Anolis sagrei: one gene and its partners. The protein of the gene in region 1 interacts with the protein of each later gene in a pairwise test. Links are inferred from orthologs where the notes say so. Each region holds a gene or a part of one and is shown in the gene's direction. Other genes may lie near its edges.

The links.
Region 2: the proteins of PIN1 (region 1) and AMOT interact in binary tests that used the Homo sapiens proteins (3 or more experiments, as listed by UniProt). The two-hybrid records come from large-scale screens. The link is inferred for Anolis sagrei from reciprocal best matches to the Homo sapiens genes PIN1 and AMOT.
Region 3: the proteins of PIN1 (region 1) and ABI2 interact in binary tests that used the Homo sapiens proteins (3 or more experiments, as listed by UniProt). The link is inferred for Anolis sagrei from reciprocal best matches to the Homo sapiens genes PIN1 and ABI2.

What each region holds. Positions count from the first base shown.
Region 1 is NC_090022.1:147,605,315-147,615,650, forward strand, and holds the start of PIN1 (peptidyl-prolyl cis-trans isomerase NIMA-interacting 1), read left to right. Parts: upstream 1-5,914; 5' UTR 5,915-5,972; coding exon 5,973-6,030; intron 6,031-10,032; exon of another isoform or gene 10,033-10,104; coding exon of another isoform or gene 10,105-10,126; intron 10,127-10,336. Other genes in the region: UBL5 (ubiquitin-like protein 5), read left to right, coding at 429-472. UniProt on the Homo sapiens protein: Peptidyl-prolyl cis/trans isomerase (PPIase) that binds to and isomerizes specific phosphorylated Ser/Thr-Pro (pSer/Thr-Pro) motifs.
Region 2 is NC_090030.1:33,524,709-33,534,083, reverse strand, and holds the start of AMOT (angiomotin), read left to right. Parts: upstream 1-4,881; 5' UTR 4,882-5,116; intron 5,117-9,375.
Region 3 is NC_090021.1:165,826,026-165,835,838, forward strand, and holds the start of ABI2 (abl interactor 2), read left to right. Parts: upstream 1-5,319; 5' UTR 5,320-5,371; coding exon 5,372-5,488; intron 5,489-9,813. UniProt on the Homo sapiens protein: Regulator of actin cytoskeleton dynamics underlying cell motility and adhesion. Functions as a component of the WAVE complex, which activates actin nucleating machinery Arp2/3 to drive lamellipodia formation.

The sequences.
Region 1 (10,336 bases):
GTTTATAAAAAGTCCTATGTTTATATATTACGTTTTCCATTAAAGTTTAATGTAAAGGCTGAGATGATAATATGTGAAATGGCTCTGTCTCTGCCTTTTACTATATATTGCTCAGTATTTAAAACAGGAGCAGCCAACTGGTATCTATCTAGTGTTGAAATTCCCAGCAGCCTTGGTTAGTATAGCTAAAATGAAGACTGGTGAAATTTCATGTCAACATCTGGTGTGTTGTTTCCTGATAAAGTGTTAATTTGTAGGTCTGTGTATGGCTTCTGGCAGTTTGAAAATATGAGGATCAGCATCTGTGATGTTTCCAAAGGAAATGCCATTTTGGTAGTATCGTAGACTTTTCTAGATTTACACATTAAGCTCACTTACTAGACCTGAATGTTTTCCTGTGGGAATTCACCTTAACTTTTTACTTTCAGATGAAATCCATGATGGCATGAACCTAGAACTATACTATCAGTAATTTGGTTGTGGAAGATTTCATATCTGTCATGGTCTCTTTTCTTTTTTCTTCATTTCTAATTTCATTGAAAGTGTCAATGGCTTGTTTAGTTGCATGAATTGTGGCTAGTAATATTTTTATCCCTTATGGCAATAAACTAGAAGATATCTTCTCAAACTGTGTGTTTTTTAAAAATACAAATGTTTATAATAAATGTGATATAACAACATGTGTTAGATGTGGTCTTTGAGGCATTTTTAACCATGTTATTTGTGGAAGTTATAGTGAGAATAGGAGCCCCCGGTGGCGCAGTGGGTTAAACCTTTGTGCCGGTAGGGCTGAAGACCGACAGGTTGCAGGTTCGAATCTGGAGAGAGGCAGATGAGCTCCCTCTATCAGCTCCAGCTCCTCATGCAGGGACATGAGAGAAGCCTCCCACAAGGATGGTAAAAAACATCAAATAATCTGGGCGTCCCCTGGGCAACGTCCTTGCAGACGGCCAATTCTCTCACACCAGAAGCAACTTGCAGTCTCTCAAGTCGCTCCTGACACGACCAAAAAAATAAATAAAAATAGTGAGAATAATGTAGCACAGCTTTATCATTCTATCCAAAGAGCGTACCATCCCACAATCCCCTCTTGTTAGCTTAATTATTTACAAATTGATATAGTCACAACTACTTACCACATGTACAACATTTGAATACAACTGGGAGGGCCTGATTTTTTGGTTTACAAAAGTTGCCTTCATTATAAGGTTGGGAAATCTTTGATTTTCAGATGTTTTGGCCTACATTCCCTTTTACCACACTGGCATGGTTAGGAGTTGGAGAACAAAATCTCTAAGGGATAAAGGCTTCTCACTACTGCCTTGTTACTGGTTTAGTGAAAGTTCTTAATCACTGCCAATGTAAATTCACAATAGTGCTTGTTATCTGGAATAACAATAGAAATTACTGCTACACACAGTATTTGTTCTGTTAAATGAATTGGGAATAATCCTTCTGTGCCATTGCCAACCAGAGCAGACAATAATTCATCTAGCCTGTAAGCATCATTCTGTCATAAATTACTGGCTCTATAGCCAAAGTTCTAAATAAAGAGCAGATTTTAACAGCCATTAGCCATGATAGCAAAACAGTGCATGAATTCAATCTGCATTCCATAATTGCTGGTTTAACTTTGGTGGATTTGATTATTTGTAGATTCATTTAATGTGTTCCCTAGGAATTAATAGGTCCTTCAGCATGATCCTATGGTCAACCTCTTGTGGAGGTTGTCCTGGATAACCAAAAGGTGTTGTCTCAGGTAAAATAAAAATTTTCCCCACATTTATGGGACTCTTCTGTACCTAACCGTGAAAATGGAGGGCATACTCGTATATCTCTGGGAGGGGGAAGTGCACAGATTGCCTAAAGAAGGGATAGAAATAATGTAGTTTCCTAGGTACATACTTTTGGACTTCCAGCACTCCTAACCATTGGCTATTCTAGGCTGTTGGGAACTGCAATTCAGTAACATTTAGAAAGTAACACAGTTCCCTTCCCTGGGCTAGAGTTCAGAAGGATGGGGTGTCTTGAAATGGACAAAATTCCTTCTTTTCCTCATTTCTTTAAGCGTTTAGAGATGGATAAACTGCTGCTCAGAATACCTGGCTAAAAACCACACCATGATTTTCGGGGCTTTTGAACTGACTCAGAATTGCACTGTCCTAGTTTCTCTCTAGGCAGGTAGGAACATGAAATGTACGTATTTAAACCTGGGACGGGAGACTGAGTTTTCCAGGTTGTATGGCCATGTTCCAGAAGCATCCTCTCCTGACGTTTCACCCACATCTATGGCAGGCATCTTCAGAATTTTGAGGCCTGTTGGGAACTAGACAAGTGGGGTTTATATATCTGTGGAATATATATAAACCACAGATATATAGAAAAAAAACTCTTGTCTATTTGAGGCAAGTGTGAATGCTGCAATTGGCCACCTTGATTAGCATCAAAAGCCTTGCAGCTTCAAGGCTTGGCCGCTTCCTGCCTGGGGGAATATTTTGTTGGGAGGTGATTAGCTGGCCCTGATTATTTATTGTCTGAATTCCCGTTTTTAAAAATATATAATTTCTTAAATTTTTAAAACCACCTACACACACATAATTGATTAAAAAGCAAACCAGCACCATCACCCTATATTATCTGCAGACAGGGGACATCTTTTTACGATGCCACTGTGTGCAATGGGATTTGAGCCAAACCAAGGGGCCTACTGCATTTCTAAATTGGCTCCACCCAAGAAGGCACTGGGATTGGTTTGCAGTAATGTTTCAAATGCGCAATTCCGAGCCAGAACTAATACGACTGGTGCCAATATTTTGATCAGCAGGGAGTTTGTCCAGAGGAGGGCGACTAAAATAATCAAGGGTCTGGAAAACAAGCCCTATGAGGAGCGGCTTGTTTAGCCTGAAGAAGAGAAGGCTGAGAGGAGATATGATAGCCATGTATAAATATGTGAGAGGAAGCCACAGGGAGGAGGGAGCAAGCTTGTTTTCTGCTTCCCTGGAGACTAGGACGCGGAACAATGGCTTCAAACTACAAGAAAGGAGATTCCGTCTGAACATGAGGAAGAACTTCCTGACTGAGAGCCGTTCAGTAGTGGAACTCTCTGCCCTGGAGTGTGGTGGAGGCTCCTTCTTTGGAGGTTTTTAAACAGAGGCTGGATGGCCATCTGTCAGGGGTGCTTTGGATGCAGTATTCCCGCTTCTTGGCAGGGGGCTGGACTAGATGGCCCATGAGGTCTCTTCCAACTCTTATGATTCTAATCAGAAGACCCATAGTCCTGCCCAGGAACCTTTATTGTGTTGCCTTTGTCTAGATGAGTCCATAAATGTAGGCAAGGCTAGGAACGCCTGAAGACATCCCAGCACAGTATCATCTCCGTAGGCTATTAACTCAAAAGGAGCACAGGACTTGTGATTAAACAAAAGACATTCATGAGGGGGAGGGAAGGTCCAAGGAGCATCTGAACATAATACATTTTCTATAATATAATATGAAGGCAAAAGGAACACATAAAGACAAAACACAGAGGTTTGGAGGACCTGGTGTGCACAGGAGGCATAGTTTCCTCAAGTACACACATTAGCCAGGCTCTTTAGAGTGGGGAGTCTGAGGGAGATTAAGGAGGGGGGCAAGGAACACTCTTGGGGGAAAATGAAAAGATTGGAGTCCAGAGATCCCAGGAAAAAGGAGGAAAAGCACTCCCCCCCCCTCCATAAAGAAGATAAAGACTCCTATTCTCCCATACAAGTCAAAAGTGGCAAAATAGCCCACTGGCTGGGCTCCCGCCTTTGAAACAAAAGTTTCTCGTTCTAATCCCGGTCAGGGAGGGTTACCGAGACATACGTTTTGCTGGGAAAAGCTTCCCCTTGTGTATCCTTTTGTGTGTGTGTGTGTGTAAATGACAGAAGAGGAAGACCCGAGCGAGCCATGCTGCTCCCCTGGAGAGCCATGCCACACCATGAGGGCGGAGGCTGTTTTCCCTCATACAACAGTCTCTAGCTCTAGCCAATAGGAGCGCGACGTCTTCACCCAGTTGGCCAATCGTGGGAGAGGCCGCCGGAGCCATTGTGCGCGTGCGGCGTCGTTGCCAGGAGAAGTGGGCGTGGCCTCCTCTGCGCTTGGTGCTGTGAGAGGAGGGAAGATGGCGGAGGAGGAGAAGCTCCCCGCGGGCTGGGAGAAGCGCATGAGCCGCAGCTCCGGTACCGCCGTGGACTGGGAAGCGGGCGTGGGCGGGCACCGAGCTGTGGGGGCGTCCCGGGAGGGTGTCTGTGCGTGAAGGTCCGGCCTCGGGAAGAAGGAAGGCCGGAAGGGAGTCGCTTTCATTGTGACTTAGATTGAGGGGCCTGCGCGGCGGCGGCCTCTTCCCCCCCCCCCCCCGAAGGAGTGGCGAAAGGCAAGAGGGACTCCCTTTCTGGGCCCGAATCAGTGGGTCCCCAGGTGTTTTGGCCTTCAACTCCCAGACATCCCAGCCAGTTTTACCAGATGTTAGGATTTGTGGGAGTTGAAGGCCAAAACATCTGGGGACCCACAGGTTGAGAGTCACTGGCAGGGATTAGAAAGAAGGGTTTTTCCCCCCTCTCTGCAGGAATGTAGATGGAAGCTATGACGGGGAAAGGAGGGTTACTATCTGTGGCTCCTCCTCAGAGATAAGCCAAACCCCATAGCAAACAGCGGTGTTTCTGGGGGCTCCTTCTCTATTACTGTGGGCCTTTCCACACAACCACATTTTGGTAACTCAGAACATCAATGCAGATAATCCACAATATCTGCTTTAAACTAGATTACCTGAGTCCACACTGACATATAATCCAGTTCAATGTTGATTTTATACAGCCTGTGTTGCAAAATGAGGGCCATGCCTAAAAGTGAGTCACCAACATGAAATGTTTGGAAAGCTGTGGTAGGATTATAAACAAACAACTGATTATAAACAAACAACTGAAAACGTGTTGTCAAAGGCTTTGGAAATCACTGGGTTGCTGTGAGTTTTCCAGCCTGTATGGCCATTTTCCAGAAGCATCCTGACGTTTCACCCACATCTATGGCAGGCATTCTCAGTTTTGAGGTCTGTTGGGAACTAGGTAAATGGGGTTTATATATCTGCGGAATACATATGCACCACAGATATATAGGGAAAAAAAACTTGTCTATTTGAGGCATATGTGATTGCTGCAATTAGCCACCTTGATTAGCATCGAAAAGCCTTGCAGCTTCAAGGCTTGGCCTCTTCCTGCCTGGAGGAATACTTTGTTGGGAGGTGATTAGCTGGCCCTGATTGTTTATTGTCGAATTCCTTTTTGAAAAATATATAATTTCTTAGATTTTTAAAACCACCTCCACACACACACATAAGTGCTTAAAAAGCAAACCAGCAGCAGCACCCTATATTATCTGCAGACAGGGGACATTTTACGACGCTACTGTGTGCAATGGGACTTGAGCCAAACCAAGGGGCCTACTGCATTTCCGAATTGCCTCCGCCCAAGAAGGCACTGGGATTGGTTTGCAGTAACGTTTCAAATGCGCATTTCCGAGCCAGAACTAATACGACTGGTGCCAATATTTCGATCAGCAGAGAGTTTGTCTTATTCCCGGTTCTGGAGGCCATTGGTGTACATCTGCAGTGCGGTGGTACGCTTCGACGTGGTGACTTGAGTAACCACGACGCCTATCCTTCCAATCCATACGCGACGGGGCTCTGTATAGCTTTCCAAAAGCTAAATGTGAGCGCTTTGCTTCGCGTCTGGCCTTTTTTGTCCCTTCGCAGCCTCCGTCGTCTCACCTTTGGCGTGCCAAGGCAGCCAAGTACCCTCTCTCGCGCGGTCTCTAGCTCTAGCCAATAGGAGCGCGACGTCTTCACCCAGTTGGCCAATCGTGAGAGAGGCCGCCGGAGCCATTGTGCGCGTGCGGGGTCGTTGCCAGGAGAAGTGGGCGTGGCCGCCTCTGCGCTTGGTGCTGTGAGAGGAGGGAAGATGGCGGAGGAGGAGAAGCTCCCCGCGGGCTGGGAGAAGCGCATGAGCCGCAGCTCCGGTACCGCCGTGGACTGGGAAGCGGGCGGGAGCGTGGGTGGGTGGGCACCGAGCTGTGGGGGCGTCCTGGGAGGGTGTCTGTGCGTGAAAGTCCGGCCTCGGGAAGAAGGAATGTCGGAAGGGAGCAGCCTTCCTAGTGACTTAGATTGAGGGGCCTGCGTGGCGGCCTTCCCCCCGAGAGAGTGTCGAAGGGGAAAAATCAGTTAATTAAATCAACAGGGATTACAAAGAAGGGTTTCCCCCCCTCTGCAAGAATGTAGGGGAAAGCTATGACGGGGAAAGGAGGGTTACTATCTGTGGCTCCTCAGAGATAAGCCAAACCCCATAGCAAAGAGTGGTGTTTCTGGGGGCTCTTTCTCTCCATTCTCATTTTGTATTTTCTTATACAGGCTGAGTCCCCCTTATTGGCAATTCTGAAATATACCAAATCCCAAAAATGTCCACGTTGGTGGCTGAGATAGTGATGCCTTTGCTGATGGTTCAATGAACACAAAACTTCGTTGCATTATTGCATACACAACATTATTAAAAAGTAGATTGTATAAAAATGAGCTCCAGACTATGTGTAGAAGGGGTATATGGAACATCTATGAATTTCGAGTTTAGACTTGGGTTCCATCTCCATGACATCTCATGTATGTGCAAGTATTCCATTCTGAAATCCAAAACACTTTTGGTCCCTTTCATTTTGGGTAAGGCAACTTACATCTCTCAGCCTTTATTCTCTTCGTTCCTCCCTGAATTGTGAAAGGCCAGGGCAATGTACAACCCTCTGCACTCTCAGCCATTCCTAGCACCTCTTTCTTTACTTACAGCTGTCCTTGCTGTCTTTGTGGACACTGTTTTTATATAATAAAAGTGAACTGATAATTAAGTGTTCTCATTTTATTTTTTTTATTGGTGTTTGCCTTGAATGAAGAGAAGAACTTCATGTCACTTGCTCATAAGGAGCCCCCTGCCCCCAAAGATCCAGGCCTTTCACAAAGGACATTTTTAGAGGTTGCTCTTATTATAACAGCAGATGTATGTAGATTTTAACTTTGCACTTTATCTAAATCCCTTTAAATTGTTTATGAATGAAGCTTTTTGGGTTGATCTATGAGCTAAAATTCTTATCAGAGCCTATTGGACCACATTTAGTTTTCTTTATCCAGGGGATTTGCAGCTGTTTTGGAATACATATTATTGCCCAGACTGATTATAGCTGCTGGTATTTGGCCTCATCACACTAGAGAAAAATCCACTTAAAATCTGGTTTCTGCCTCCAGAATTCTGGGGTATGCAGTTTAGGGAGAAGCCTCACTAAACTACAAACCCCAGAATTCTGCAGGAGGCAGAAACCAGATTTTAAGTGGATTTTTTCTCTAGTGTGATGAAGTGTTTGGATTCCAATACATTTAAAGACTCCTACATGCTAATGGCAAGCCTTTTTCTTTTGAACAGTAATTACATGGGCAGCCCATTCAGCTCATCAGTAGGATTTGATGGCAACATCCCAACCAAGAAATTAGTTCTTGATAGCATGCTGTCTTTAAACACTCACGCTGTACTTGGCCATTATGACTAATAGCATCTTACAAATCTCTCATCTGTCAGTTAGGTTAAGTTTCCTTTAAAGCAGTTGGGCAGGGACCATCACCATGTGTTGTGAAAGTAAATTTCCTAAGCCAGAAGTGGTAAAGCTCACACCTGGGACCAGACAGAAATTTCTGTCCTCACCTCCCTCAGATGGTCATGTCTCCTGTATTACATCATGCCCTCTTTTGCATTCTATATGCTAAAGTGTCTTTTATAATTCTTTGATAAAATATGCTGATATTTTGATCCCATCCTTTGTATCCACTAATCACTAGAAACACTTTTTGTATTTGAATTTGGACTCCAGGCTGGAAGACGTTTCTAATATCTGCTTGTAATGTGTTTTTTTGTAGTATAATCTATAGCATGTAAAAATCACTTGCCACACTCTGATGTTATGACAAACAGAAAATGCATCTTGACACTCTTCTTCTGAATCATAGAATCATAAGAGTTGGAAGGGACCACAGGGGCCATCCGGTCCAACTCCTTGCCATTCAGAAAAAGCACAGTCACTTTACTTCTATCCTTCCTTTTTCCAAGACCAAGATTTATGCTTACACATTAAAACATTTATAATTAAATACATAAAAAGTTATCATTAAAACCAAGTGAAACTATTAATCATGTTAAAAACATACACTCTAAAATGATTTTAATAGTTAATGCAATTCAAAGCAATACAGACAGTAAAGTCCTTTTTTTTTTTTTTGAAACCTTCAGTTCTAAAAGCCTATTGGAATAGAAAAAGCTTTGCCTGCTGATGAAAGCACAACAGCAAGGAGATGGCCATCCTGACCTCCTTAAGCAGGGACTTCCAAACTCTAGGGTTGCCCTTTCTCATATTACCTCTAATTATAACCTTTTAAGTGTGTAAATTTTTTGCAGCAACTCACATAGCTCCCCGCATCTTCCACTGTTCCTTACAGTTGACTATGTAGACTGATTGGAACTGTAGGCCTAAACTTGGGAAAGGCCATGGCTTCACCATTCTTGTGTTACATAATGTATTTGCTGTGATTTGTGTGTATATAACAGAGAAGGCAGGGGGTGTGGAGTGTTATTGCCATGACATGTGGTTACACATACATTAGAACTTACTTGCTATTTTCTTGTCTATTCACCAATGTGGAGAGATCCTTTCGGAGGTCTCCACACTGATTGAGTTTATAGTATCCTATAAGTATTTTGCCTCCATGCCTGTTTACCTCAAACTCTAGGCCAGTGGTTCTCAACCTGGGGTTCCCAGATATTTTTGGCCTTCAACTCCCAGAAATCTTAACAGCTGCTAAACTGGCTGGGATTTCTGGGAGTTGTAGGCCAAAAACATATGGGGACCCCAGATTGAGAACCACTGCTCTAGGCCATGGGTTCCCAAACTGTAGGCCGGATGCAGCCCTCCAAGATCATTTACCTGGCCCCCTCTCTAAACTTCAGATGTGGGGTCACCCTAAATCTAAAATGACTTGAAGGTGCACAACAACAATCATAATTAATTTGACTATCTCATCAACCAAAAACACTGGTAAGTTTATGTTGGTTAACATTGTTCTTCATTTAAAAGATTGTATTCTTTAATGTTTTTAGCACTACAAATAAGATATGTGCAATGTGCATTAGAATTCCTCCATGTTTTTTCCCCAAACTGTAGTCTGGCCCACCAGTAGTCTGGAGGCCCTCTGCTTCAAAAAATTGAGGACCCCTGCTTTTGACCCTTTATTTTGTTCAACTAATTTTTAATCAGTAAAAGGTTTTGTCATGCCTGCTCTGAGGGAACAAGGTAGGGTATGTAGTCCTGTCATTTTACTATCTTCTCAATATTTTAAAGTACATTAATATGAGAGTCATGAAGAGGTGTACAGAGCCCCCCCCCCCCCGGCTTAGTTAAATTTGGACATATTTACTTTTGAGTTGTTAATTTGCCATTTAAAACTAGAATGTCATCACTTATTGAGTTTTTACAGCTGTTTGATTTAATCTACTCCCGAGGGGAAAGTGTTTTAGGCATACATAACTGCAGCATGTTCTGCAGTAGAAAAACTAGAAAGAAAAAAAAATCTCTATCCTCCCTATAACCTAGTAGTACTTTCACTCATGTCATTCACTTGTTTGGCCATCTTTCTGCTTGTTTTTCTGAGTATGATTTAGATATTATTATTGATTACCGTTATATGTTACTTTCACCATTCTTATCAACGGTAAATAGTGTCACAGGACAGTTGTTACAAAATGAAGCCCACACTGACCAGAGAGGGAAGTATTCTCAGTCCAATCAACCCTAAGGATTGCGGAAGCACCAAAGGAATCATGAGAAAATAAAATTTCATGTGAGAACCATCTAGAATATGCCAGACTGCGCATGTATGTGGTATATACAGGAAAGGGGAGGGAAGAAAAAACACAGATAAATCTGGAACAGTGGGGCTACGTAGCAAAGCTTCCTGTTCAAAGCGCTAGCAAGAGCCACATTTTGCAAGGACAAAATTTGTGCTGTACAATGGATGAGGATAAAGAAGAAGGTAGGAAGTGGTGGAAGAAAAGACTAGACAGCAGGAAACAGATGAGATATGGAGGGGAGGAATTGCAGGGATTGTGAAACAGAAAACATCAAAAAGGAGGTTCCCACTCCTGAAGAATCAATTGACTGAGAATGTTATGTAGCCTCTTAGCTAAAAAGAGAAATGGAAAAGAGAGGTGAGGGTAAAATGTGATGTCCCAGAGAAGGGCAT
Region 2 (9,375 bases), on another chromosome or scaffold:
TATGATCTGTATTTTAATGTATTTTATGTAATGATGCATTACGATGCTATTATGTTTATCCTACTTGTGTTTGAATTTCCTGCTGTTAGCCGGCCTGAGTCCCTCTTCGGAGGTTGAGAAGACCGGGTTATCAAAGCTCTAAATAAATAAATAAATATAAATAAATGATAAATGTGTAAGAGCTGGTCATTTTCAAAGGCTTGTTGAAACCACCAGGTCTTCAAGCTCTTACAAAAGGACACAGCATATTATTGGAGAACACAGAAATGCTGGACCACTCTCACAACCACCATGTCAGACTACACAGAGAAGCCATTGACATCCACAAGAAGCAGGTGGACAATTTCAACAGAAAGGAGGAGACCATGAAAAGGAACAAAATCTGGCTACCAGTATTAAAAAAATCTAAAATTGCAACAGCACAACAACAGAGAGGAAAAAAACAAGGACATCTAATCACCTCTCAACAGAAGATTGCTCCAGGCACTGCCAGGCTTTCTTTCCTTCTTTCCTCCCTCCCTTCCTTTTTTAATTCCTCCTTTCCTTTCCTTTTTCTTTCTTTCCTTCCTTCCTTTTTCTTTCCTTCTTTTCTCTTCTTTCATTCCTTCCTTCCTTCCTTCTTTCCTCCCTCCCTTTTTAATTCCTTCCTTCCCTCTTTCTTTCTTTTCTTTCTTTCTCTCATTCCTTCCTTCCCTCTCTCTTTTCTTCCTTCCTTTCCTTCCTTCCTTCTTTCTCTCCTTCCCTTTCTTTCCTCTCATTCCTTCCTTCCCTCTCTCTTCCTTCCTTCCTTCTTTCCTCCCTCCCTTTTTTAATTCCTTCCTTTCCTTTCCTTCCTTCCTTCCCTTTCTTTCCTCTCATTCCTTCCTTCCCTCTCTCTTTTCTTCCTTCCTTCCTTCTTTCTCTCCTTCCTTCCTTCCCTCCCTTTCTTTCATTCTCTCATTCCTTCCTTTCCTCCCTCTTTTCTTTTCTTCCTTCCTTCCTTCTTTCCTCCCTCCCTTCCTTTTTTAATTCCTCCTTTCCTTTCCTTTTTCTTTCTTTCTTTCTCTCCTTCCTTCCTTCTTTCCTCCTTTCCTTTTTGAATCCTTTCCTTCCTTCCTTCCTCCTTTCCTTCCCTCTTTCTTTCTCTCATTCCTTCCTTCCCTCCCTCTTTTCTTCCTCCCTTCTTTAATTCCTTCCTTCCTTCCTTCCTCCTTTCCTTCCCTTCCCTTTCATTCCCTTTTTCCCCAGGCACTGTCAGGCCATCAAATGCTAATGAAGGTGGTCAGCTGAAACATTCACACCTAGCTCCAGCAGACAAGAGTCCTTTGTCCCACCCCGGTCATTCCACAGATATATAAACCCATTTTCCTACTTCCAACAGACCTCACTACCTCTGAGGATGCTTGCCATAGATGCAGGCGAAACGTCAGGAGAGAATGCCTCTAGACCATAGCCATATAGCCCGAAAGACCTACAACCACTTTCATTCAGGGACCATTTCATCCTAGATGTCCTGTTCTTTCTCTCTCCAGAATTGACATCCCAGGGTTCCTTTCTCTCTCCCAATTTGCACAACCCCACCCACTACCTCTCATTTAACCCTTTCCTGCCCATTCCATCCCCGTTCTTAACTAGGAGTCACTTGCCACCTGAGGGTGACCCTCAATGCCTTCCACCTACATCTGCAATAGCAACAAAGCACCACGAGAGGGCGACAAGAGCATTTTCACCACATTTTTCATATTTTTTCATAATTATTATGATTATAACCACGGCAATTTCAGCAGACTCTCGGTGAACCCAAAACAACAACGACAACGGCTCAATGCCATAACAATAGCAATGCCCCCACTTTTTCCCCCCACGGTTGAGATCCAAGGCAACTCACAACTTTAAAACCCAATCGCCTTGCAGCTGCAAAGTCAATCAGTGAGGGTATCTGCAGAGATGTAGGCTAGCTGTTGTTGCCCAGAGGAACTCTCTGTGGAATGATGTCCAGGGTGGGAGAAAGAACCCTTGTCTGTTTGAATCAAGTGTGAATTTTGTAATTAGTCAGTTGGAAAAGCATTGAGTAGCCTTGCAGCGAAAAAGTCAATCAGTGAGGGTATCTGCATAGAGGTGGGCTGGATGTTGTTGCCTGGAGGAACTCTCTGTGGAATGATGTCCAGGGTGGGAGAAAAAACCCTTATCTGTTTGAATCAAGTGTGAATTTTGTAATTAGTCAGTTTGAATAGCACTCAATCGCCTTGCAGCTGCAAAGTCAACCAGTGAGGGTATATGCATAGAGGTAGGCTGGCTGTTCTGGCCCGGAGGAACCCTCTGTTGAATGATGTCCAGGGTGGGAGAAAGAACCCTTGTCTGTTTGAATCAAGTGTGAATGTTGTAATTAGTCAGTTTGAATAGCATTGAATCGCCTTGCAGCTGCAAAGTCAATCAGTGAGGGTATCTGCATAAAGGTGGCCTGGATGTTGTTGCCCAGAGAAACCCTCTGCGGAATGATGTCCAGGGTGGAAGAAAGAACCCTTGTCTGTTTGAATCAAGTGTGAATGTTGTAATTACTCAGTTTGAAGAGCACTGAATCACCTTGCAGCTGCAAAGTCAATCAGTGAGGGTATCTGCATAGAGGGAAGCAAGGTGGGTTCCTCCTCCTTTTCCTCCCTTCTTTCTCTCTTTTCCTGGCTGAGCTTAAGAGAAGCAAAGAGAAGGGAAGAAGCAGAGGGAAGCAAGGCAGGATCCTCCTTCTCCTTCTCTTCTTTCCTGGTGAAGGGAAGCAAAGGGAAAAGAAGAAGCAGAGGGAAGCAAGTTGGGTTCCTCCTCCTTCTCTTCCTCCCTTCTTTCCCTCTTTTCTTGCTGATCTCTAGGGAAGCAAAGAAAAGGGAAGAAGGAAGCAAGGCAGGATCCTCCTCCTCTTCCTCCTCCTTCTCTCCCTGGTTGTGTTCAAGGGAAGCAAAGAGAAGGGAAGAAGCAGAGGGAAGCAAGGCAGGATCCTCCTCCTCCACTTCTTCTTCTTCCTCCTCCTCTTCTTCCTCCCTTCTTTCCCTCTTTTCTGGCTGAGCTCTAGGGAAGCAAAGGAAAGGGAAGAAAGAAGCAAGGCAGGATACTCCTCCTCCTTCTCTTCCTTCTCTCCCTGGTTGAGTTCAAGGGAAGCAAAGAGAAGGGAAGAAGCAGAGGGAAGCAAGGCAGGATCCTCCTCCTCCACTTCCTCTTCCTCCTCCTCCACCACCACCACTTCTTCCTCCTCTTCTTCTTCACTTCTTTCCTGGCTGAACTCAAGAGAGACAAAGAGAAGGGAAAAAGTAGAGACAGGCAAAGCAGGATCCTCCTCCACCACTTCCTCCTCCTCCTCCTCCTCCTCCACCCCCACTTCTTCTTCCTCCTCCTCTTCTTCATTTCTTCCCTGGCTGAACTCAAGAGGGACAAAGAGAAGGGAAACAGTAGAGACAGGCAAGACAGGATCCTTCTCTTCCTCCTCCTCTTCCTCCCTTCTCTCCCTCTCTTCTGGCTGAGTTCAAGAGAAGCAAAGAAAGGGAAGAAGGAGCAAGGCGGGAACCTCCTCCTCTTCTCCTCCTCTTCCTCCCTTCTCTCCCTCTTTTCCTGGCTGAGCTCAAGGGAAGCAAAGAGAAAAGAAGAAGCAGAGGGAAGCAAGGCAGGATCCTCCTCCTCCACTTCTTCCTCCTCCTCCTCTTCTTCACTTCTTTCCTGGCTGAGTTCAAGGGAAGGAAAGGGAAGGGAAGAAGCAGGGGGAAGCAAGACAGGATCCTCCTCCTCCACTTCTTCTTCACTTCTTTCCTGGCTGAGCACGAGAGGAACAAAGAGAAGGGAAACAGTAGAGGGAGGCAAGGCAGGATCCCCCTCTTCTTCCTCCTCCTTCTCTTCAAGGGAAGCAAAGAGAAGGGAAGAAGCAGAGGGAAGCAAGGCAGGATCCTCTTCCTCCTTCTCTTCTTTCCTGGCGAAGAGAAGCAAAGGGAAAAGAAGAAGCAGAGGGAAGCAAATTGGGTTCCTCCTCCTCTTTCTCCTCCTTCTTTTCCTCCCTTCTTTTCCTGTTTTCTGGCTGAGCTCTAGGGAAGCAAAGGAAAGGGAAGAAGGAAGCAAGGCAGGATCCTCCTCCTCCTTCTCTTCTTTCCTGGCGAAGGGAAGCAAAGGGAAAAGAAGAAGAAGAGGGAAGCAAGGCAGGATTCTCCTCCTCCACTTCCTCCTCCTCCTCCTCCTCCTCTTCACTTCTTTCCTGGCTGAGTTCAAGGGAAGCAAAGAGAAGAGAAGAAGCAGAGAGAAGCAACCTCCTCCTCCACTTCTTCCTCCTCCTCTTCTTCTTCACTTCTTTCCTGGCTGAACTCAAGAGGGACAAAGAGAAGGGAAACAGTAGAGGGAGGCAAGGCAGGATCCCCCTCTTCTTCCTCCTCCTTCTCTTCCTTCTCTCCCTGGCTGAGTTCAAGGGAAGCAAAGAGAAGGGAAGAAGCAGAGAGAAGCAAGGCAGGATCCTCCTCCTCCTCCACTTCCTCCTCCTCCTCCACTTCTTCTTCTTCCTCCTCCTCCTCTTCTTCACTTCCTTCCTGGCTGAGCTCAAGAGGGACAAAGAGAAGGGAAACAGTAGAGGGAGGCAAGGCAGGATCCCCCTCTTCTTCCTCCTCCTTCTCTTCCTTCTCTCCCTGGCTGAGTTCAAGGGAAGCAAAGAGAAGGGAAGAAGCAGAGAGAAGCAAGGCAGGATCCTCCTCCTCCTCCACTTCCTCCTCCTCCTCCACTTCTTCTTCTTCCTCCTCCTCCTCTTCTTCACTTCCTTCCTGGCTGAGCTCAAGAGGGACAAAGAGAAGGGAAACAGTAGAGGGAGGCAAGGCAGGACCCCCCTCTTCTTCCTCCTCCTCTTTCTCTTCTTCCTTCCTTTCCCTCCTTTCCTGGCGCCCTTTCAAGGGGCGTGAAGGGAAATCAAGAAGCAGAGGGGGGGGGTCTAGGCGGGCTCCTCCTCCTCCTCTTCCTCCTCCCCTCCTCTTCCTCTTTCTCCTCCTCCTCTTCCTCCTCTTCAGTTGCCTCTTCCTCCCTTCCCTTCCCTCCCTTCCTTCCTCCCCCCTGGACTCAGAAATGGACCCTCCCTTCTCCTTGACCTTCGAAGCCTTCTCTCTCTGCCTTGGAAGGACCCCAAAAGGTAGGGATTGAGAGGGGGGGGGCTTGGAAGGGGGCTTGCTTTCCACCCCCCTGGGAACTGTTTCCGCCCTTTCCAACCTCCCTTTGTCCCTCTCCTGGACCTCTCTTTGCATGCAAACCACGCGAGATCCAGAGTGGGGGGGGGGGGGGGGGGAAGGAACTTCCTCCACTTTCCCAGGAACTTGGCGGAGAGTTCCCCTTGTTCTTCTGTGGGATACAAAATATAAAAAAGGAGCAACATCTATCCATTAGAGAGATATATTGTTTCCCCCAAACAGATCTATTGAAACATTCTATCCAATGTGTTGTTGAAGTTTTTCATGGTTGTTGTGAATTTTCTCGGCTGTCTGGCCCTGTTCCAGAAGCACTCTCCCCTGACGTTTCACCCATATCTATGGCAGGCATTCTCAGAGGTTGTGAGGTCTGTTGGGAACTAGGAAAAGGGGGTTTCACAGATATATCATAGAATCAAAGAGTTGGAAGAGACCTCCTGGGTCATCCAGTCCAACCCCATTCTGCCAAGAAGCAGGAATATTGCATTCAAATCACCCCAGACAGATGGCCATCCAGCCTCTGTTTAAAAAGCCTCCAAAGAAGGAGCCTCCACCACACTCCGAGGCAGAGAGTTCCCTACAGGTGTTGGCTATTTGTTTGAATTCTTCTTTGGTGATTTCTCCCTTTTTCCACTTCTTGTGCATGTCTCTTTTGTGTTTTAGCACAGTTAGAAGTTAAGTTCTTGTGGGTTTCTTCGGGCTATATGGCCATGTTCTAGAGGCATTTCTCCTGACGTTTCGCCTGCATCTATGGCAAGCATCCTCAGAGGTGAGGTCTGTTGGAACTGGGGGAAAGGGTTTATATATCTGTGGAATAACCAGGGTGAGACAAAGGACTTTTGTCAGTTGGGCTAGGTGTGAATATTTCAACTGACCACCTTGATTAGCATACAATGGGCTGACTATGCCTGGAGCAAACTCTTCTCGAAAGGTAATTAGATGTCCCTGCCTGTTTCCTCTCTGCTGTTTTTGCTGTTGCAGTTAGAAGTTCTTTGGACATCCATTCTGGCTTCTTTGCACTTGTCCTATTTTTTCTCTTTGTTGGCACAGTTTGCAATTGCGCCTTGAGTATTTCCACTGCTGAACGGCTCTCACAGTCAGGAAGTTCTTCCTCATGTTCAGATGGAATCTCCTCTCTTGTAGTTTGAAGCCATTGTTTCGCGTCCTACTCTCCAGGGAAGCAGAAAACAAGCTTGCTCCCTCCTCCCTGTGGCTTCCTCTCACATATTTATACATGGCTATCATATCTCCTCTCAGCCTTCTCTTCTTCAGGCTAAACATGCCCTTAAGCCGCTCCTCATAGGGTGTGTTCTCCAGACCCTTGATCATTTTAGTCGCCCACTTTGTCCTAGTTTCCAACAGACCTCACAACCTCTGAGGATGCCTGCTATAGATGCGGGTGAAAGGTCAAGAGAGTAAATATTAATAATAATAATAATAATAATAATAATAAAGCTTTATTTAAGACTCTGTGCAGCACCAACCAAGGCCTGGAGGGAGGGGAGGTGGAGTCGCAGTGGTCTATAAGGATTTTATCCCCCTGATCAGGTGCCCCATCCCACAGTCATCTTCCTTTGAGTGTGCCGGCTTTAGGATAGGTGACCGGGACAGGATAGGGATTCTGTTAGTGTACCGACCACCCCGCTGCACAACAGTCTCCTTATCTGAGCTAGCAGGAGTGGTCTCGGATTTGGCTTTATAATAAAGCTTTATTTAAGTCTCTTCTGCTGTGTTCTCCAGTATTTTTATGAGTGATGGTCACTCGTTGGCCTGATCGGTGTCTTGTGTCCAAATTTGGTGTCAATTCGTCCAGTGGTTTTTGAGTTATGTTCGTCCCGCAAACTAGCACTACATTTTTATTTATATAGATTCTATTATTATTCTATTATTATTATTATTATTATTATTATTTTACCTGTCCGAACGCATCTCCTCCTATGAACCAACTAGGACATTAAGATCATCTGGGGAGGTCCTGCTCTCAGTCCCGCCTGCATCACAGGCACGCCTGGTGGGATAAGAGTGAGGGCCTTCTCAGTGGTGGCCCCTCGGCTGTGGAACGCCCTTCCTACAGATATAAGATCGGACCCCTCCTTATTGGCATTTCGGAGGAAAGTGAAGACCTGGTTGTTTGAACAAGCATTCAATTAAGCAGTGTAATTGAATATAGGAACGTGGAATAACGGACAATGAGATTGGATTCTGATTCTAGTGATGGGACGCGATTGATTTGTTATATTGATGTTTAATTGTTGTTATGCTATTGTTTTAATTTAATTGTTTTGTAATGTTTAGCATTGAATTTTGCTGCTGTTAACCACTTTGAGTCACCTAAGGGCTGAGAAAAGCGGTATATAAATAAATAAATGTATTATTATTATATATTTATTATTTATATTATTCTATGTTATTATTATTATATTTCTATGACCCCACCACCATCTTCCCACAGGGACTTGGGGCAGCTTACATGAGGCCAAGCCCAGCAACAATATAAAACAATATAACAGAACACATCAATACAATCTATATAAATAAAAATGTAATGTTCGTTTGTGGTATTCACAGAACTCAAAAACCACCGGAGGAATTGCCACCAAATTTGGACACAAGACACCTAACAACCCAATGTATGTCCTTCACTCAAAAAATTGATTTTGTCATTTGGGAGTTGTAGTTGCTGGGATTTATAGTTCACCTACAATCAAAGAGCATTCTGAACCCCACCAACGGTGGAAATGAACCAAACTTGGCACACAGAACCAAACTGTGGCAAGTTTGGTTCAATTCAATCGTTGGTGGAATTTGGAATGCTTTTTGATTGTATGTGAACTGTATAAATCCCAGCAACTTCAACTCCCAAATGACAAAATACCCAGTTCCACCAGTATTCAGATTTGGGCGTATTGGGTGTTTGTACCAAATGTAGTCCAGTGAATGAAAATACATCCAGCATATCAGATATTTACATTTTGATTCAAAACAGTAGCAAAATTGCAGTTCTGAAGTAGCAACGAAAATCATATTATGGTTGGGGATCACCATAACATGAGGAACTGGATTAAGGGTTCGCGGCATTAGGAAGGTTGAGAAACACTGGAGTAGCTCCAAGGTATTTTGGCATGCTGCAATACTCCAGTGAGATTCCTTCCCAGGTCATCCTCAGAGCTCGAGATGCTTGTATGTTCATAAGATGAAAGCACACGTCTGCATTTTAGATGGATTAGGAATTAGCTGGTTTTCACTGTAATAGGCAGTAAGGGCACCTTGAGCCTGCCACTTTTGGACTCTCGCTTGCTGAGGTGTTCCAGCGAGTGTCTCTGTAGATCTTAGAAAACTATTTCTTGATTTAAGTCATTGACGTGCTGGCTGATACCCAAACAGGGGATGAGCTAGAGATGTCTCTGCCTTGGTCCTTTCACTATTGGCTGCTACTTCCCGGCGGATGTCAGGTGGTGCAATACCGGCTAAGCAGTGTAATTTCTCCAGTGGTGTAGGGCGCAGACACCCCGTGATAATGCAGCATGTCTCATTAAGAGCCACATCTACTGTTTTAGCGTGGTGAGATGTGTTCCACACTGGGCATGCGTACTCAGCAGCAGAGTAGCATAGCGCAAGGGCAAATGTCTTCACTGTGTCTGGTTGTGATCCCCAGGTTGTGCCAGTCAGCTTTTGTATGATATTGTTTCTAGCACCCACGTTTTGCTTGATGTTCAGGCAGTGCTTCTTGTAGGTCAGAGCACGGTCCAGAGTGACTCCCAGGTATTTGGGTGCGCTGCAATGCTCCAGTGGGATTCCTTCCCAGGTGATCTTCAGAACTCGGGATGCTTGTCTGTTCTTGAGATGAAAGGCACATGTCTGTGTTTTAGATGGATTAGGGATCAGCTGGTCTTCCCTGTAATAGGCAGTATGAGCACCTAGAGCTTCGGAGAGCTTCTGTTCAACCATTTTGAATCTCCCTGCTTGAGCGGTGATGGCATGATCATCAGCATAGATGGAACCCTCTGTCCCTTCTGACAGTGGTTTGTCATTTGTGTAGATGTTGAACATGGATGGAGCAAGCACGCTCCCCTGAGGCAGGTCGTTCTTCTGTTTCCGCCATCTGCTTCTCTGACCCTGGAACTCAACAAAAAAGCTCCTGTTTTGTAGCAGGTTTCCTATGAAGCAAATGAGGTGGTAGCTCTTTGTGATATTATAATTTTTTCTC
Region 3 (9,813 bases), on another chromosome or scaffold:
TCGGAACAGCCAGGTTTTTAGGTTCCTTCTGAAAACTGCTAAGGTAGGGGCCTGTCAGAGATCTTTTGGAAGGGCATTCCAAAGTCGGGGGACCGCCACAGAGAAGGCCCTGTCCCGTGTCCCCACCAAGCGCGCTTGCGACGAGGGCGGGATCACGAGCAGGGCCTCCCCAGATGATCGGAGTGAGCGTGTGGATTCGTAGATGGAGATGCGGTCACACAGGTAGGGTGGTCCCAAACCGTTCAGGGCTTTGTAGGTGAGCACCTGCACCTTGAATTGGGCTCGGAAAATAAATGGCAGCCAGTGGAGCGCCTTAAACAGAGGGGTAGATAGGCAGGTCCTGGACCGTTTAGAGCTTCTTAGGTAACAACCTGCACCTTGAATTGGGACTGGAAACTTATCGGCAGCCAGTGGAGCTGGGGGTTGACCGTTCCTACATTTATCTACACTGTAGAATTAATTTGGCATCACTCTAACTGCTATGGCTCGTAATTTGTGTTGCATTTTGGTGAGACACTCAGGCCCTTTCTACACTACCATATAAAATCCAGATTATATGCCTTGACCGGGCAGTGTAGACTCATAAAATCCAGTTCAAAGAAAATAATGTGGATTATCTGTTTTGATAATCCGGATTATATGGCAGTATAGAAGGAGGCTCATATTCTTTGGAAGAGGAGGCTAAAGATCTTCTGAACCTACAACTCTTAAGGTTCCATAACACTGAGTCATGGTAGTTAAAGTGGTGCCAAACTGCATTAAATCTACAGTGCATATTCAGCCTCATTCAAAGAAGCCATGGCCGTGAGATTAGAAGACATGAGCAGGAGAGTTGATGTCAAGAAACATGGAGGTAGGGGTCTCCTTATGATGATGAATGTGACATGGTGACAATTACCATCACCTTCAGGTATCAGAGAATCAGTGTGGTGTAGTGATTTGAAAGCTGGATTAAGACTCCTTGGTTCAAATCCACCAGATCTTCCTCTGACCTAGTACATTTCTGAAATTAAGAAATACAAATCATATGAAAAATATTGTTGTGTGCCTTCATGTCTTTCTAGGTAATGGCAATCTTAAGGTAACTCTACGATAGAGTTTTCTGGTGCCAAGAGAGTGTGACTTGCCCAAGGTTCCCCAGTGAGTTTCCATGGCTGAATGGGGAGTCAAACTGGTCTCTAGAGTCAAATTCCAACAGTCAAATTAGCTACATAACAAAATCTACAAGGAAAAGGCTTGTTAAATCTCTGGAGGCATCACTCACTCAATGTTTAAACCCCCTTATGAAAATGCCATTCAAACCCATTTCAACTTGGCGCAAGCATTCCTCAAAGCAAAAAACAACCTTTCTAAACCACCAGATTTCAGCTTAATCTACTGAGCCATTTTTAGAGGAGGTGACATAGAACTTATGCTCCCCCATTCCCCTGTAGTGTTTATAATAGTGGGTTTTCATTTATTTGATTTATATCTTGCCTTTTTCCTAGCACTGCAACCAAAGCAGTTGGCAACATAATTCAAGAACAAGAACAGCAATGAAAACGCAATTACGTTATAAATATTAACAAATAAAGAATTTATAATATTAAAACAGGCTATTATTTTCGTGTTATAAATAATGAAGCGCTAATTGTGAAAATGTTAAAACACATGATTCATTTGTTTCACTGATTTTTTTGTGATGTGGCTGCAGGCCACAAGTTAACTAACTATGTCCTGCAAAAAAAAAAAAAAAAAAATAGAGGAAGGAAAATGTTTTTGCAGTTTAATATTTTTTTCCATGTTCTTATGACGGAAACAATTAGTATGGCCATGTTACAGTAGCATTCTCTCCTGATGTTTTGCCTGCATCTGTGACTGGCATCTTCAGAGGTCTGTTGGTGGTCAGGCAGGTGGAGTTTGTGTGTACATATATATATATGTGTGTGTGTGATGGAATTGAACCAAACTTGGCACACAGTTCTCCCATGACCAACAGAAAAAAGGAACGGTTTGGTGGGCAGTGTCCTTTGGTGTTGGAGTTGTAGTTCACCTACATCCAGAGATCACTGTGGACTCAAACAATGATGGATCTGGACCAAATTCTACACGAATACTCAATATGCCCAAATGTGAACACTGGTAGAGTTTGGGGAAAATAGACTCTTGACATTTGGGAGTTGTAGTTGCTGGGATTTATAGTTCACCTACAATCACAGAGCATTCTGAACCCCACCAACGATAGAATTGGGCCAAACCTCCCACACAGAACTAGTACTCCCCAACATTCTTGTCCCAGGAGTCCCCCCCATGTATGAAGGTTTGCTTATTTTCCTATCTCTCTCTGAGTTGTCCCTTACAATTAGTTCTGCCCCCTTATCTCACCCGGGGTTTTTAAAATCATTTTATGTACATATCATTTTGTTATTATGTTTAGTTTGTATGTTCTGTGTATATTGTTTTATATGCTTTGATGTTTTATTTTAATGTTATGTTGTTTATTTTATTGCAATTTGTATTATTATATTGTAATTCTTGTTCGGCTTGGCCCCATGTAAGCCGCTCCGAGTCCCCAACAGGGAGATGGTGGCGGGGTATCAATAAAGTTTATTATTATTATTATTATTATTATTATTATTATTACTAACCGTCCCCTGCTACGCGTTGCTGTGGCCCACTCTGGTGGTCATGGGGGTTGTGTGGGAGGTTTGGCCCAATTCTGTCATTGGTGGGTTCAGATTGCTCTGTGATTGTAGATGAACTACAAATCCCAGCAACTACAACTCCCAAATGTCAAAATTCTATTTTCCCCAAACTCCACCAGTGTTCACATTTGGGCATATTGAGTATTCGTGTAGAGTTTGGTCCAGATCCATCATTGTTTGAGTCCACAGTGCTCTCTGGATGTAGGCGAACTACACCTCTAAAACCAAAGGACACTATCCACCAAACCCTTACAGTATTTTCTGTTGGTCATGGGAGAACTGTGTGCCAAGTTTGGACCAATTCCATCATTGGTGGGGTTCAGAATGCTTTTTTATTATAGGTGAACTATAAATCCCAGCAACTACAACTCCCAAATGACAAAATCAATTTTTTGAGTGAAGGGCCTACATTGTATTGTGTCCAAATTTGGTGTCAATTCGTCCAGTGGCTTTTGAGTTCTGTTAATCCTACAAACGAACATTACATTTTTATTTATATAGATGAACCTTGATTACTATAATGACCTTTGTCCTTCATTTCCTTCCACCAGTTGGTATCACACTCCTTACCAGAAAGGTTTTCCTAACATTTAGGTGGAATATTTATCTCTCTTGTAATTTGAATCCATAGGTTCATGTCCTAGTCTCTGGAGAGCCTAAGAAAAACTTCCTCTGTCTTTACTGGGACATCATTTCAGATATCTTGACTACTATAGTGACCTTTGTCCTTCATTTCCTTCCACCAGTTGGGATCACACTCCTTACCAGAAAGGTTTAGGTGGAATATTTCTCTCTTGTAATTTGAATCCATAGGTTCATGTCCTAGTTTCTGGAGAACTGTGTGCCAAGTTTGGACCAATTCTATTGTTAGGTTCTTGTAGGTTTTTTCGGGCTATAGGGCCATGTTCTAGAGGCATTTCTCCTGATGTTTTGCCTGCATCTATGGCAAGCATCCTCAGAGGTAGTGAGGTCTGTTGGAAATAGGAAAATGGGTTTATATATCTGTGGAATGACCAGGGTGGGACAAAGAGCTCTCTGCTGAAGCTAGGTGTGAATGTTTCAGCTGACCACCTTCATTAGCATTTGAAGGCTTGGCTGAGCCTGGGAAAATGTTCTGTTGAGAGGTGTTAAGATGTGCCTGGTTGTTTCCTCTCTGCTGTTTTGCTGTAGTAATTTTAGAGTTTTTTTAATGCTGGTAGCCAGATTTTGTTCATTTTCATGGTCTCCTCCTTTCTGTTGAAATTGTCCACATGCTTGTGGATTTCAATGGCTTCTCTGTGTAGTCTGACATGGTGGTTGTTGGAGTGGTCCAGCATTTCTGTGTTCTCAAATAATATGCTGTGTCCAGGTTGGTTCATCAGGTGCTCTGCTATGGCTGACTTCTCTGGTTGAAGTAGTCTGCAGTGCCTTTCATGTTCCTGGATTCTTGTTTGGGCAATGCTGCGTTTGGTGGTCCCTATGTAGACTTGTCCACAGCTGCATGGTATACGGTAGACTCCTGCAGAGGTGAGAGGATCCCTCTTGTCCTTGCTGAACGTAGCATTTGTTGGATTTTCTTGGTGGGTTTGTAGATTGTTTGTATGTTGTGTTTCCTCATCAGCTTCCCTATGCGGTCAGTGGTTCCCTTGATGTATGGCAGGAACACTTTTCCTCTGGGTGGATCTTCATCTTGACTCTTGTGGCTTGTTCTTGGTCTTGCAGCTCTTCTGATGTCTGAGGTGGAATATCCATTGGCCTGGAGAGCCCAGTTGAGGTGGTTCAGTTCATCTTGGAGGAGGTAAAATAATTAGTTTATATTTGTTAAAATTGTTCATTTTAATTATTGTATTGTTTTTAAGTGTTTTTTTGCACTACAAATAAGATATGTGCAGTGTGCATAGGATTCATTCCTTTTTTGTTTTCAGATTATAATCCAGCCCTCCAACAGTTTGAGGGACTGTGACCTGGCTCTCTGTTTAAAAAGTCTGAGGACCCCTGGCCTAGAGCATCTTGGGTGATTATTAAGTAATTAAATATGATGATGCAAAGTCTTTTCTCCCGCCCTCCTTCCAATGGTGATGCTGTCTAAGATGTCCTGCTGGCCTGAGGACGAGGAGGGGAAAAGGAGCTCTGCTTCTGTAGACTGGAGTGGGCTAATGCCTCTTCGTGGCCAGAGGCCTTGTGAAGTGAAGCACGAATGTCTCAGCCTATGCTTAAGCGACCAAGGCAGAAGGTTCTTTCTGCCTCAGCTGTGCGGGGGATGCCATGCCCACTCCCGCCTGTGTGTGACACGGAGAGCATCCTGAGAAGCAAGGAGAGAGAGTGAGGGAGAAAGGCGTGGAAGACGACTTCCTCTTCTTGGGTCCCTCCTGGCCTCAGTGTAGCAGAGCCAAGCAGGAGCTCGCGCGGAGGTCTTCAGCGCATGCGCAGCCGACGCTGTTGGTCCCTCGCGCCGCGGACTGTCCCTCTCAGGGAGAGAGAAAGAGAGAGGAGGGGAGGAGGAGGACGTCACAGCAACGCTTGGGAGGGAGGAGGAGAGCGCGAGGAAGGAGCGCGAGGCAAAGGAGGCGGCAGCAGTTGGTCGCCAAGGAAGGAAGAGAGGGAGGGAGGGCAAGCGCGCGCTCGGAAGGGGGGCGGGTGAAGAGCCGAGCGCGAGGGAGGAAAAAAGGGGCGGGGCCGAGCGGGCGCGCGCGCGCGAGGATGTGAAGATGGCGGAGCTGCAGATGCTGCTGGAGGAGGAGATCCCGGGAGGGCGCCGGGCCCTCTTCGATAGCTATACCAACCTCGAGCGGGTCGCCGAGTACTGCGAGAGCAACTACATCCAGGTACGGGCCGCTGCCTCTTGCTGTGGGGCGGGGGCGGGCCCTCCGCCCGTTAAAACCCTTTCCCCATTAACCCCCCCTCCCCAAATAGCCAGCGTGAAGGGAAACGAAGGTGTGTGTGTGTGCGCGCGTGCGTCTCATCTCTCCATCCTCCTCATGAGATACATCTGTGCCTCCTTCCCTTCCCTCAGAACCATTTAGCGCACTCTTGAGGCCTGGCTGGGGTGTCTGTCTGGGGGATGCGCACGCTTTAATGTCCAAGGCCCCTTCCACACAGCTGAATAAAAAACCCCACGTTTTCTGCTCTGAACTGGAATATATGGCAGTGTGGACTCAGATAACCCAGTTCAAAGCAGATATGGTGGGATTTTCTGCCTTGATATTCTGAGTTATATGGCTGTGTGGAAGGGCCCCAGAACAGACCTCCCCCCTCCCCTTTCTTTACAATTCAGTATATGTCTCAAGTCGCAGCTGCTTTGGGGCAGCCTGATGCAAGGGTTAAAGTGGGCGAATACTTGTGCATTGGGGCTCATGGGGTGACACAGGGCAATCCTTCTCATTCTGGTTGCTCCCAGAGGCTTTTTCTCACTGTCTGCATTTGGATGTGTGTGCAGATAGGATAGTACATTTGACTGTGTGAAGATCTGGAGCTCGGATCCATATATACCTGTATTTGCATATCCCACTTCATGAGGTATCTTTAGGATGGGACCCGTCACATTTATGTTTCTTATGCACCTTGTACACACAGCCCCAAAGGTAAACATATGGATCATATTTTACATAATGTTATGCACAAAATAAAGATTGTGGAGACTCAATCAACGAACTGAAGGTGTCATTATCTCACTCACGGATGTGGACAATTTTGGATTACCGGTATTCAAATTTTGGGGTTTGGTTTAAGACGTGTTCAACCTGTATCTTATTTGTCAAGAGACGATTGGCATGAAGAGTGGGCTTTTCCTCTCTCCTGTTGTGGTCCCGATTGGAATACCAGTTGAATAAATAATTCAGATTCCCAAAGTACCAAACACTGCCTTTTTTGTAATTAAATACTGGTCTGATTGGGAGGTGATGTCAAACCACACTTTAGGTTAAAGTCTCCTACTCTTGTTTGGCTATCTGAGGCCCCTTCCACACAGCTGTATAAAATCACATTGAACTGGATTTTATGGCAATGTGGACTCAGGGCCCTTCCGCACAGCCATATAACCCAGAATATCAAGGCAGAAAATCCCACAATGTTTGCTTTGGACTGAGTAATCTGAGTCCACACTGCCATATATTCCAGTTCAAAGTAGAAAATGTGGGATTTTATTCAGCTGTGTGGAAGGGGCCAATATCTGCTTTGAACTGGATTATCTGAGTCCACACTGCCATATAATCCAGTTCAATGTGGATTTTACACAGCTGTGTGGAAGGGGCCTCAGATAACCCAGTTCAAAGCAGATATTGTGGGTTATCTGCCTTGATATTCTGGTTTATATGGCCGTGGGCCCTTCCACACAGCCATATAACCCAGAATATCAAGGCAGAAAATCCCACAATATCTGCTTCGAACTGGGTTATCTCGAGTCCACATTGCCATATATTCAAGTTCAAAGCAGATATTATGGGATTTTATTCAGCTGTGTGGAAGGGCCCTTAGACCTGACTTTATGGCTAGATGGGTTGAGGCTTTTACTGTGTTTCAGCAGAAAAACAGTCTCCTATGAGAATAATATATTGTGTGGAATGATCCTTAGACCTGACTTTGTGGCTAGATGAGTTGTGGCTTTTACTGTGTTTCAGCAGCAAAACAGTCTCCTATGAGAATAATATATTGTGGGCTGAAAATACTTTAGTATTTGAGTAGATATCTGAAGGAAAGCTTTGTATTTATGTTTTGTATTTTAGACAGCATCTTTCGCACCCAGTTTTCTTTAGCACAAGTAGAGATGATGTAGTTAAAGATGATGTTAGTACTTGGTTTGCAGTTTCTTTAGCATGTTGCATGTTGGTACAATTCCATAGAGCACAAGTGAAAAAAACTGCAAGGAGAATGGCATGGTGTTGGATTGGAGGAAGATATGCTTCAAATATTGACATTATTATGACTTGCCTTCCATGCTCACTAAGGGAGAACTAGGATGTAGCTAAAAACTGAATGATCATGCTTCAAGTGGCTATCATGAAGCTGCATCTGTTTCTTGATACCCATCTGCATTTCTGTTATCTTTGCATTATATTTGCCCATACATCTTTCAAAGCTCAGAGAATTGTAGAACTTGGGTTAGTAAATATGGGGTTTCTGGGTTGTTGAAATAGGAGATAGGGAAGGCAAAATAATTCCTGTAGCCTGTTTTATATTGGGGATTAATCTGGACTATGATACCGATCATATACACAATCTCAAACCTTGCAATGTATCCCTGTGTTGTAGCTAAATATAATTTTAATTCATCTTCCATTCTTAAAATTGCAGTTTATCTGTATCTGCTGAGATGCCTTTGTTTCCCCCCAGTCATATATGCAGTGAGAAATGCTGGTAATATAAAGAGACGAAGAATTAGGGAAGGACAAAACATTTAAAATGGCAAAATGAGTGACGATGCACTGTGTTCCATTTGTGTTGTTGAAAGACCAGTTCTAGCAAATTGATATTCAATCTTCCTGGTGTGTTCAGAGAGCTTTTGTAGTCCCTCAGACCGGTGCATGCACCATGGCTTCACCATGGCACCCTTTATATATAATAGCTTTGTGGTTCATGCACAACAGAAGGTTTTCCTTTGAGGCAGAGACATAGGATGAGTAAGATCCGTTTTTCTGTATTACTGAACTTGTTGGGATTTGTAGACTTGCAGGGCTTTTTTTTGTGTTTACTTATTTGAAGAGAAAGTGGTTTTGACATTTTGACCTGTAGATAATTTCATTTCTGATCAGACTTAGCTGAAAATGTGATGTGGCATAGGAGCTCTCTTCCCATAACCCTGGAGAATTTCGTTGAGGATTACAGAAAGTTAAGGAAATCTTGCCGGCAAACGAGTACACAGTCTTGGATAACATTTTAGCCAGGAATGCTGATTGAGACTTTCCCCCCAAATGTTTATTTTTTTAAAAAAAGGATTTTGATTCTTTGCAACTTCCTCTTACACTGTACAATATAAGGTAGGTAGCTAAAATGGGTAAGATTAAGAAAGATATCTGAACTACAGTGAAGTTGGCAGATGACTGTGAATGTGTCATGTGAACCAAACTTATAATTCAGGGTTGTAGTTTGCTGGGGAAGAATGAATTATAGATTTGTTACTGGTAATTACTGTTAATTAGTGTTTTCCTCATGGTTTGCAGGAAAAATAAGAGCTTCATTTTCAGTATTTAAAATTATTGTATATTTCCATTTGGGTAAAATAGCTAGGTGGTGATACGGTCCTCATTTTAATTTAAGCAACAAAAGCAAAGGAGCCTGCAACTCTGAAATTGCCTTAGCAACATTAAACTGTTATTAATAGTACTTAACAAAGAAAACAAAGAATTTCAGCAATCTGTGTGGACTAAACAAACTGTTGTCATGTAGATTGTTCCCAAATAGGTCTAATTTATATAGAAGCATGGAGCTTATTTTTAAATAGGTGTGTAACATTTATGACTCTTAAGAGGCAAAATAAATATTTAACAATTTCTTCCAATTCATCGGCATCTTATAAAAAAGACTTTTTAAAAAAATAAAAAAGCATTTTAGTGTTGCTTAGCTGTAAAAATGAATACATTTCTTTTTCTTTTTTGATGTATGCAAGTAGAAAAACGATTTTCTTTACTTATGCACATATTAAATGAAAAGCTGGTAATATATAAATGTATGCATCCTTTAGGACTGATTTAAAATGCAAGCATTTTTTCAGAATGTCACAAAAAAGCTGGTTTTAATACAGGTTGACAAAGAGGTGTGTGAGAGAAGGTAGACTACTGTATATGAGGAAATGGAATGCAAGAAGAAACTAGGATTATATATTACGTTTTCTAAGCATATATGAATCCTTGAATCTGAGGATGACATCATGGATAATACTATATTGCTAAGTAACAGTTTCTATTTATCACGAGAAACCAGAATTCTACAAGAATTTTATTTGTATTTTAGTTTTAATTTCTGAAACTATATGCAGCTGCATTTTGAACATGTGATTAAATTCGAATGTACTGTAATTCATTACAGTGTGGAATATGGTATATTGGTAGAGGGGTTCTAAAACATGAATTCTTAATATTTTAAAGCGGAAAACGTCTTTGTAATCTTTTTAACTTTTATGGAATATGGGCATGATTCAGCGAAAGTCAGGCAATTT